Linked DNA regions of Macaca fascicularis. The protein of the gene in region 3 binds, or shares a complex with, the protein of the main gene of each other region. Links are inferred from orthologs where the notes say so. Each region holds a gene or a part of one and is shown on either strand. Other genes may lie near its edges. The genes, in order: SF3B4, SF3A2 and DDX46.

What was found.
Region 1: DDX46 (region 3) and SF3B4 share a complex: the UniProt entries of both Homo sapiens proteins name them as parts of the 17S U2 SnRNP complex. The link is inferred for Macaca fascicularis from reciprocal best matches to the Homo sapiens genes DDX46 and SF3B4.
Region 2: DDX46 (region 3) and SF3A2 share a complex: the UniProt entries of both Homo sapiens proteins name them as parts of the 17S U2 SnRNP complex. The link is inferred for Macaca fascicularis from reciprocal best matches to the Homo sapiens genes DDX46 and SF3A2.

What each region holds. Positions count from the first base shown.
Region 1 is NC_088375.1:111,351,934-111,355,687, reverse strand, and holds the start of SF3B4 (splicing factor 3B subunit 4), read right to left. Parts: upstream 2,270-3,754; 5' UTR 2,226-2,269; coding exon 2,192-2,225; intron 1,760-2,191; coding exon 1,631-1,759; intron 1,393-1,630; coding exon 850-1,392; intron 521-849; coding exon 314-520; intron 1-313. Other genes in the region: MTMR11 (myotubularin-related protein 11), read right to left, coding at 3,578-3,754. UniProt on the Homo sapiens protein: Component of the 17S U2 SnRNP complex of the spliceosome, a large ribonucleoprotein complex that removes introns from transcribed pre-mRNAs.
Region 2 is NC_088393.1:2,904,289-2,906,623, reverse strand, and holds part of SF3A2 (splicing factor 3A subunit 2), read right to left. Parts: intron 1,979-2,335; coding exon 1,869-1,978; intron 360-1,868; coding exon 310-359; intron 231-309; coding exon 90-230; intron 1-89. UniProt on the Homo sapiens protein: Component of the 17S U2 SnRNP complex of the spliceosome, a large ribonucleoprotein complex that removes introns from transcribed pre-mRNAs.
Region 3 is NC_088380.1:141,369,645-141,373,298, forward strand, and holds part of DDX46 (probable ATP-dependent RNA helicase DDX46), read left to right. Parts: intron 1-1,677; coding exon 1,678-1,751; intron 1,752-3,340; coding exon 3,341-3,388; 3' UTR 3,389-3,654. UniProt on the Homo sapiens protein: Component of the 17S U2 SnRNP complex of the spliceosome, a large ribonucleoprotein complex that removes introns from transcribed pre-mRNAs.

The DNA.
Region 1 (3,754 bases), on a different chromosome or scaffold from region 3:
GTCAAACTAGATAAGGAGCAGACGTGTCCCTGAGATTTGGCAATTAGGTCACCACTTTGAGCTGGAGTCAGAGAAGAGAATGGAACTAAAGGTTAAAGAAATAAAAACCAGCAAGTATAGTCTTCTTGTCAGAAAAACTTAAGAAATGGATACAGGGAGGTGGATGTTAGAGAGTATTTTGTATGTTTTTATAATAGAATGTCTGAAGGAAAGGAAACTCTGAAACTGTTACTGTTGAGGAACAAAGGGCAGCAGGGTGAGAGGTAACAGAGATGCTCTACCAAGCTCTTCCCTCCCAACAAAGCACACCTACCTGGATGGGGCATCCCACCTGGTGGGAATGGGTGAGGATGTGAGTGTCCATGACCAGGATGTCCTGCCCCTGGGGTTCCTGCCGATGGGGGGCCATGTCCTGCAGCTCCAGGAGGCATAGGTGGTGGGGGCATGGCTGGGGGTATCCCAGGTGGGAGGGCTCCAGGAGGTGGCACTGGGGGTGGGAAGGAGCCAGGAGGAGGCATGCCTATAGAGGAAATGGAAAAAGGAAAAGTTAATGGTAGTGAGGAGAAAATGTCTTTAAAGAGCCTGTCCTGATCTGGCCTCTCTGGGCAGGGTGAGCTCTTTCCCCCTCCTCCCAGTGCTCTAAAATCAAAAGCAATGTTAGAAAAGTCAACCAACTTCACCCTCCTAAAGAAACCCAACAACTTTCTTCTCCACCACTACCATCACCCCTCAGTCCTCTTCCCATCACTCACTGACTCCATGTCCCATCCCCCTTTCAGGCTCTTTTTTTCTTCCTCCTGACTCTCTCCCCCAACCTTAAGACAAACAAATTTTAACCAAAAGCTTTACCTGGTGGAGGAAGCCCAGACCCCAATGATGATACCACAGGATTGGGGGCAGAGGGTGGAGGAGGTGCATCTGCAAACAGCTGATGAGGGCGGTCAGCCTGGGAGAGCGGGTTCTGAGCTGCCAGAAGTCGTTCGGCTGCTGAGCCATGGCGCTCACCCTTGGAGTCCTTCTTGAAGGCATAAGATACGGTGATAGGGCGGTTACAGAGGTACTGCCCATTCATGGCTTCAATTGCTGCATCCGAAGCATCAAATGAAGCAAAATTAATAAAGGCATAACCTTTGGAGTTGCCTGTGTCAGGGTCCCGCATAATCTTGGGGGTTTGTAAGATGACCCCAAAAGCGCTGAAAGTATCATAAAGCAACTTCTCATCAATCTCAGGGTCCAGGTTCCCAATGAAAATGTTGGCCCCTACATCCAGGTTTTTGTTGTGGGCTGATGCCTTGTTCACCCGTATTGGCTTCCCATAGAGTTTGATCATGTTCATGATCTTAATGGCATAGTCAGCATCTTCCTCACTCAAGAATTCCACAAAGCCATAGCCTGGAGAAGTGGAGAAGAGGAGGTTAACAACATAAGAGATTGAAAATGGGGTAAAACTCATCTACCCTCTAATCACAAAGAACAAGAAAGAAACAATCTCACTTAAGAATGGTTCCAGAAATAAACTGAACAGAGGCTTAAAAGAAAGAAATACTTTAGGTTGCTCATGTTATTCCAAAACAGTTGTGAATACTGCCGGGACCCTCCGGAAGCAAACTGCCCCTTGTCATGTACTCACCTTGGTGCTGGCCAGTGACTCTATCCTTTGGCATGTGGGTGTTGACTACTGGTCCAGCCTGGAGAAACAGTTCCCACAGCAGTGGTTCACTAACCTTCTCATCCAGGCCCCCCACGTACACAGTGGCATCTGAAGGGAGGGAGCAGAAAGTTAGAGCAAGGGTGAGAGTATAACATGAAAGAAGGAGGTGATGGAAACATGAAGATGGAACCCAACCGGGGGAACTGGGGACGCGGGTAGGGGACAGGAGCAAAAAAAAAAAGTTAAACCCTTAAACTTCTCTCTCCAGGACTTCAGGAATCCTCTGAAGTCTAATTTAGTATTCTGAGTGGATTTTTTTGTTTTTTTGAGTGAGAACTCAGCAGGGGATTGGACGTAAGTATCACACACACAGGCCTCAGCCAGCACCTGGCCACCCCGCCCCCAGGAGGCACGGGGCCGGTCTCGCGCCCTCTGGGGAATGGATGAGTCCAGTCTCCCACCCCTGCAGAGGCACTTCTGGCTGTAGTAGGGGCCTCCTAGCCACGCTGAGCCCATTCCAGACTTTCCCCCTCCAGTTACCCTGGTTCCGCTCGGAGATCGGCCCGGCAGCCATGGCGAAAGAGCTCCCGCCGTCTCCCAGCAGCGGTTCCGCCTTCTGACCTCAGCACGACTTCCACTTCCGGGGCGAAGGAGGACGTAGCGGTGGGCGGAGCCGCGGAAGAGGAGGGGCCTGGAAGCGGCTGCAGCCATTTTAGGATCCTCCAAGACTTAACTCGGGTTGAGCGGTGGAGTCCTCGGCACTCGCGCAGAGGTGCCGCTGCTAGTGGCTCAGACCGTCTTAATGCACTGCTAGACTTGAAAGAATCACACTGCTCCCAAAAATGTAAATTCGAAAGCTAAAAGAACAAAAACTTCAGTTTTCATGTATTTTGTAGCCAGTGATGATGTTTTGTTGTCCAGAGAAGGATGTGCTGAAGAGTCCCCCCAACCCGAGGACTTGGCTGCTTTCAGGCGCAGAGGGAACCCTCCATCTCGCCTGCAACCTTCTTGCAGATTTGGCCTCAACAGCCCTGATTTGGGCTGGAGGTATTTGGTTTTCCCTCAGGGGAGGAGACTGCGAAATGTCTGAGCTGGAGTGACGTCTGCGCTCATCTCGTCGTAATTGCATGGGGAGGGTGAGGGCAGCTCCAAGGTGGTGTGTGACCACAGGTGAGGGGTGGATAGGATCGGAGCTCAGAGACTTCAGTCTGGATCTCTAGAACAATCTGGCCCCATCTGCCTCTAAATGGGAGACACACACAGAATCCTTTCCCCAAACTGCACTTGAATTCTGCAGAGTCTCACCAAATCCAGTTCCCCTATTTCCTTAGCAATAATACAGTAGATGCTTTCCTCTCTTGGATCATACCCACCTTTTACCCACCACTTTCCTACCTAGGAGAATCCTTTATTCAAACACAAGAAACAATGCCAGTAATGTGTATAAATACTATGCTTTAATGAGCCCCTTAAATAGAAAATTCCGCTACAAAAATACACAGGAGACAGGGTGTTTCCTGTATCCGCCTCATTCCCATAGAAAACTATAAGGGAAGAAATAGAAGTTGGAATTAAAGCAGCAGCAAGGCGAGGTGAGAATGCGATCTCTAGGCCATCTTGTTGGGACTGATGAACAGCATCTCTGATCTCACGATTTAACATCTGGTTATCCAGAAGGGATGGAATTGGTCTAAAAAAACCGATCAATTTCTGGATTGTTTTTGTTTCTTAATCTTTCAAATGACAAGAAACAAAAATATCCGTAGGAACTAAGCAAGACAGGACAAGAGTTGCAGCAGTTAACACCACCATCTGCAGCAGAAACTCAGACCTTCTTAGTGAACTTAAGGGCTGGAGTGTGAAAGCTGAGGCTGCAAGTCCAGAAACAAAAAAAAAAAAAAAAAAAGGATTAGACAGAACCGTCCTCTACCCCAGATCCCCCTCTGCCCTGCCTTTGAGAATGCCCACAATTTCAGTGGGATTGAGAATGGTATGTGGATCTCTTTTCTTGGAGTGAACTTCAGGAGATATTCTTGGTGTCCATTTCCGTAATAGCTCCTGAAGATGGGATAGCTCATCCTGGAGGCCAGAGATTGTAGGAGC
Region 2 (2,335 bases), on a different chromosome or scaffold from region 3:
GAGGGGCGCCCTGCCCAGCCTGTGCAGATCCTTCTGGCTCGCACATCTCAGGGGGCCCTGGGGCCCAGGGGACCCCGCAGCCATGCTACCTTGAAGGCGATGGTCTCATAGGGCTCAGCAGCCATGAGCAGGTACTGCCAGCGCCGGTCCGGAGGCTCAATCCTCTGCTCGTACGCAGACATGAAGCGGTGGCGTGGCATGATGCCCTCGGCGATCTCAGGGTAGTCGATCTGTGGGGACACAGCCGGGTGGCAGCGCCACCTTTCAGGTGCCTTCGGCCGCCCCCCACACCCAAGCCCCTGATCTCACCTGGAAGAGGAGGCTCTGCTGGCCCATCTCCGAGTCCCTCTGCTTGGTCACTGCAACACAGAAAGCTCTCAGGTCCCGGCTGCTTGTCCTCCCCAAAGCTGAGGGACCTGGGGCAGGCTAATGCCACCCACTGAATGAGGGCGAGACCCCAGGGGAGGCCCTGTGGCTCCAGGCAACCGCCAATCCGCCCAGGCTCTGGGACTCCGGTATAGGTGAAGGCACAGGTGCGCCAGGGCTGAGCTACCTGCGGAGTCACTCGGGCAGGGACCGAGGGTGGTACTCCTTTGTCCTAATCCCCAGAGCCCTTCACCCAGGGTGCTGGGACACTATCCAGCAGGAGTCGGGGCCACTGGGTAGGGAGCGGCCCATGGCACCCTGGCTCTGGGATTAGAGTGGGGCCGCCTGAACAGGGCCAACACCATCTATAGGGTGAGCGGGAGAGGATGCCTTTCCCACCAGAGCTCAGCAGCCTGGACCCCGAGAATGGCTGCTGGGCCGCCTACGGCCTGGCCACTCTCCAAGCAGCCTCAGGCACGCACACTCACAAGCCCTCCACCTCCTCACTGCCCTGAGCCCAAGCTCAGGACCTGTCAGGGCCTCCCCACCAGGAGTCTGCCGCTCTAGCCACCCTCGTCCACCCAGCGCACCTGCCCCGGGGCCTGTGCCCTGCAGGCTCCTGTCTGGAGGCCAGGCACACAGGCTGTCCCCATCTTCCGTAAAGAACATTTGCTGGGGCCAGGCGCGGTGGCTCATGCCTGTAATCCCAACACTGTGGGAGGCCGAGACGGGTGGAACACGAGGTCAGGAGATCGAGACCATCCTGACTAACATGGTGAAACTCCGTCTCTACTAAAAATACAAAAATTAACCGGGCGAGGTGGCAGGCGCCTGTAGTCCCAGCTACTCGGGAGGCTGAGGCAGGAGAATGGTGTGAACCCGGGAGGTGGAGCTTGCAGTGAGTGGAGATCACGCCACTGCACTCCAGCCTGGGCAACAGAGCGAGACTCTGTCTCAAAAAAAAAAAAAAAAAAAAAAAAAAAGAACACTTGCTGGGTAGCGTGCCCGCCTTCCTGACCCTACAGACACAAGGTCTGTCTCTTCCACCCTGGCCACTTCCCTGGCTTTCTGAACCAGGTCACCTCCTGCCATTCCCACTGCTGAGGGTCCCGGAGGAGCCGCCTCTAACAGCCGCTTCTTCCTGTCCTCCTTCAGAGGCTTCAAGGTTAACCGGAGGAGTGTGCCAGGGCTCACCACACCTCCACTTCCACTCTTTGGCTTGGCAAGACTCCCCAGAAGCTTCCACAACACTCGGACAGGAGGGCACAGACTGTGGCTCAGCTGGGAAAGGGGCCGCTGGGTGAGACGGGTGCTTATCGGGCTCAGCCTGACAGCTCCCAGACACAACGCCAGAGGCTGCAGGTGGGTGAGGGATGGCCACCAAGGCCAGAAAACAGCGGCTCAGGAATGAGGGTCTCAGGGCTGCGCCTCCTGCACTGGAGCCCAAAGAACCTATTCATGCAGCAGCAGCGGCTGTGGCCAGCGCCGCTCCGGGCACTCACCTTTGTAGCCTGGGCGGCCGATCTTCACAAACTTCTTCACCTCCACCTTGACCTTCTCAGGTGCGGGCTGGGCAGGGGCCTCCTTGGCCTCCTTGGCGGCTCGCCGGGCCCTGCAGGCAGGATGGACGTGGTGCTGGGGCCCCTCCACACACAGGCACCAAGGCCACGGGCCCCCTGACCTTGGAGCTCACTACAAACTGAGGGATGAGGAGGGCCAGGGGCCTGGGAGGGGCCCTGGGGTTTGGCTGAGAACAGGGATAGGACAGGCACGTTCTCTTCCTGTCATGCTCCTCACTGTCCCTGGCTGGGGTCCTACCAACAACTCCATGCCTCTGCTTTTTTCTTTTTTTTGAGACCGAGTTTTGCTCTTGTGGCCCAGGCTGGAGTGCAGTGGCGCGATCTTGGCTCACCGCAACCTCCACCTCCCAGGTTCAAGCGATTCTCCTGCCTCAGCCTCCCCAGTAGCT
Region 3 (3,654 bases):
TCAGTCTGACTTGGGTCTTGATTCTTCCGTTTCTTTTCCCTTCTGGCACTCACCTTCCCCACATAGTTTTATAATGTTGTGGTTCGTGGCTAGTGGAGGTAGAGGATTTAAATTAGATATGTTGCTATGACTTCATAGCCATAGCCTTGATTCTTTCCTTCCTGTCGTGAAACTGTTTCTGCCTCTCTTTCTGTCTCTGTCTCTGTCTCTCTCTCGGGACAGAAAAGTTACTTATTTCTAATACGGGGGGAAATTTTCTAATTTATTATAAATCTTTCCCTCATTTGTGTTTTTTAATATACAAAATGATAAAAATATAGCTCTCTACATTGCAGACCCAGTGCTCCTTTTGTTCTTAGACATTTCAGTCTTTAGTTTTCTTTGATTAAGCTCTTTTTCTCTTCTCAGCGTGCAATGTGGTGCCTATCTGTACTTTCCTACTCACTGGCATTGTCTATTGGCTCCAGATTCTACCCAGCCTACCCTTGATGGCTCTCTGATCTCTGCCACTTCTAAACTTCTAGTCCATATTTCCATTGACCTCATTTATATTTTCAACTGGATGTCCAATGAGCACCTCAACTACAGCAATTTTAGAATTAAATTTCACCCAGTATCACTATCCAAAAAACACTTGTTTTTCCTCCTGGAATCAATATATTCTTTTATTACTTCTACCTTTTTTCACTTGCCAGCCAGCTCTTAATATCTTGTTTCTCTTTTCCACTGTTCACATCCCATCAGAAAAAATATCTTGTCCATTCTACCTCAAAAATGTGCTCTTGTGATGGTATAAATACAATATTGTGAGAACACTAAAGAAGAAAACACTTAACTGCCTCGAAGAGTCAGGAAAAGCTTCCTAAAAATGGTATTTAAAAGTGAATTTAGTAAACTACTTCCTATTCATCCTGTTGTAATGTCTTTACAAGTTTGTTTTGCTAATCTGTATGCTTTTAAAGAGCATGAATTTGTTCTTTATATATTAAATCTCTCACAGTATGTGAGAGGCAAGTGCTTAATTTTTGTGAAATTAATAACTGTGAATGAATGTCTGCAGCCTGCCTCATCTAGTCAGCTATTTTGCCGTGTTCTTTCACACATTTTTCCAACCAGGCTACACTTCTCTTACTCTTCAGCAATTAAGCATGCTTGTCTTAACTCTGTACCACTACATATGTAATTCTCCTTGCAAAATACTCTTCCTGGTATCTTTCCTCCCTCCAAGTGGCTAGTCCTCCTTTCATTTTAAAGATTTTGTTCGTACGTCACCCTTCTGAAACATTTGCAGACTTCAGTGTAAATAATAAATGTCTAATAAATACTTGCTAAATGAATAAACCAAGGAAGTTATATTTCCCTGTAGCCTTCTCTTACTATCTTCTGGACAAATCGCTAATAGTCTTTTTATTCCACTCTTTTTAGTTACCATACTAGGAACTCTTAACACATAATATGACCTCAGTGGTTACATTTGAAACTCTGAAAGTAATCAAAATCATAAGCAGCCATTATATAATGTGGGTAATGTTCCACCAGGCATTAAATGGCCATCTTGGCAGGCAGTACAATGTTTCTAAAAGTCACCTACAGTGTTTCTTCCTGGACCTCCATGATATGGGTAAACACAGTGTAATTTTAGTAATGTGAATAAGATGCTTTCCACTCAATCACCAGGTGCCAATGAACTGGCTGTGCAGAAAGCAAAGGCAGAAATCACCAGGCTCATAAAAGAAGAGCTGATCCGGCTGGTGAGTGAAAACCTTAAAGTTTCATTTGTTTTGTTTTAATAAGTGTTTTATTGAAATATAAATACAGACAAGTACGCAAATCATAAACATATAGTTTGATGAATTTTCACAAAGTAATAAGCATACCAGTGTAATCACTACCCAGATCAAGAAATAAAAAACATTACTAATATCCCAGAAGTCTTCTCCGTGTCCATTCTTATCACTATTCATCTCCCCGCAACAAAACTGTACCTTGAATTTTTTTTTTTTTTTTTTTTTGAGACGGAGTCTTGCCCTGTCATCTGAGCTGAAGTGCAATGGCGCGATCTCGGCTCACTGCAACCTCCGCCTCACCCTCCTAAGTAGCTGGGATTACAGGTGCCTGCCACCACACCTGGCTAATATTTTGTATTTTTAGTAGAGACGGGGTTTCACTATGTTGGCAAGGCTGGTCTCGAACTCCTGACCTCATGATTCACCTGCCTCGGCCTCCCAGAGTGCTGGGATTACAGGCGTGAGCCACCGTGCCCAGCCCCATATTGTGAATTTTAAAATCATAGATTAGTTTTCCTTATTTTTGAACTCCACATAAGTGGAATCACGTGTTTGCACCTTTTGCATCTAGTTTCCTTCAATCAACATTTTGAGGAGATCGGTCCGTGTTATTGCATGTAGCAATAATTCACTCATTTTCATGGCCATATAATATTTATATGAATGTATAACAGTTGATTTATATTTATATATTGGATTTGAGGGCTATTCCTTTTTTGTTTTTATGAATAACACTTCTGTGAACATTATTCCATGTGCATTTGGAATATATTAGCATGATTTTTTCTTGGGTATATACCTTGGAGTAGAATTGTTAATTATAGGCTAGGTATTGCCAGATAGTTTTCCAAAGAGGTTACATCAATTCACACTTAATCAAGCAGTGTATGAAAATTACAGTTGTTCTACATCTTTGCCAACACATGGTGTTGTCAGTGTCTTTAAACTTAAACAATGACTTAATTTGATTTTGGAAAAAGCCCTTTACAGACTGCCTTTGCAGTGGAGGTAGATATGTCCTTGTGTCTTTAGTGCCGGTTGCAGCTTATGAACACTCCCTACAGTGTGTACATTTCCTTTGAAAGGAAACGTCTTTTCTCTAAGTGTACTTCTGAGAGCTTTTCTAAAACTCCCCTCAGAGAGCATTCCTTTTTTTGGCGGGGGGGTTAGAAGTTTAATGAAAAGAGGGTTCAGAAAACAAGAGGGAAAAAGTAAAACAGCTGTTCAATCACGTGCTTAAGACTATTTCAACAAGGAGTGATAGAAAAGAATCTTGTGCCCATAGATGCTACCACCATTAAGTTGATTTCAAAACATAGTTGTTAAGGAATAGTTAAGTGAACAGAGAAATCATTAGTTATTGAATAGTTTTTCCTTTCTCAGTGCAGTAATATTAACATTTAAAATTTTAAATAACCAATAGTTTTACAAGTTAGCAAAAGAAATGATCTTAAATATTTCCCTTTTGGGTTTGTTTGGTTGGTTGGTTGGTTTTTTGTTGTTGTTGTTTGTTTTGCTTTCTCTGATGACATATCTTTTATTTCCTATTACAGCAAAATTCATACCAACCAACAAATAAAGGAAGATACAAAGTCTTATAGACATCCGGAAAAAAGATTTTTACCTCTGCTGGTCTATGATAGATGTGGCAGTTGCAGTCTGCAGTTTACAATGTATTGTAAATTAAGATTTTTAAAAATTCTGTCTTGCTGATTTTTTTTAAATACAAGAAACTAGTATTTGGTAAAGAAATCTGTCCGTAAGTACCCCCACAATCAATCAAACTATATTTAAAGCCGGCCTGTTTTCAGAGTGTGATGTCCTTTAATGTAAACTTAAATATCAATATTTTAAATGTCCGGATAAT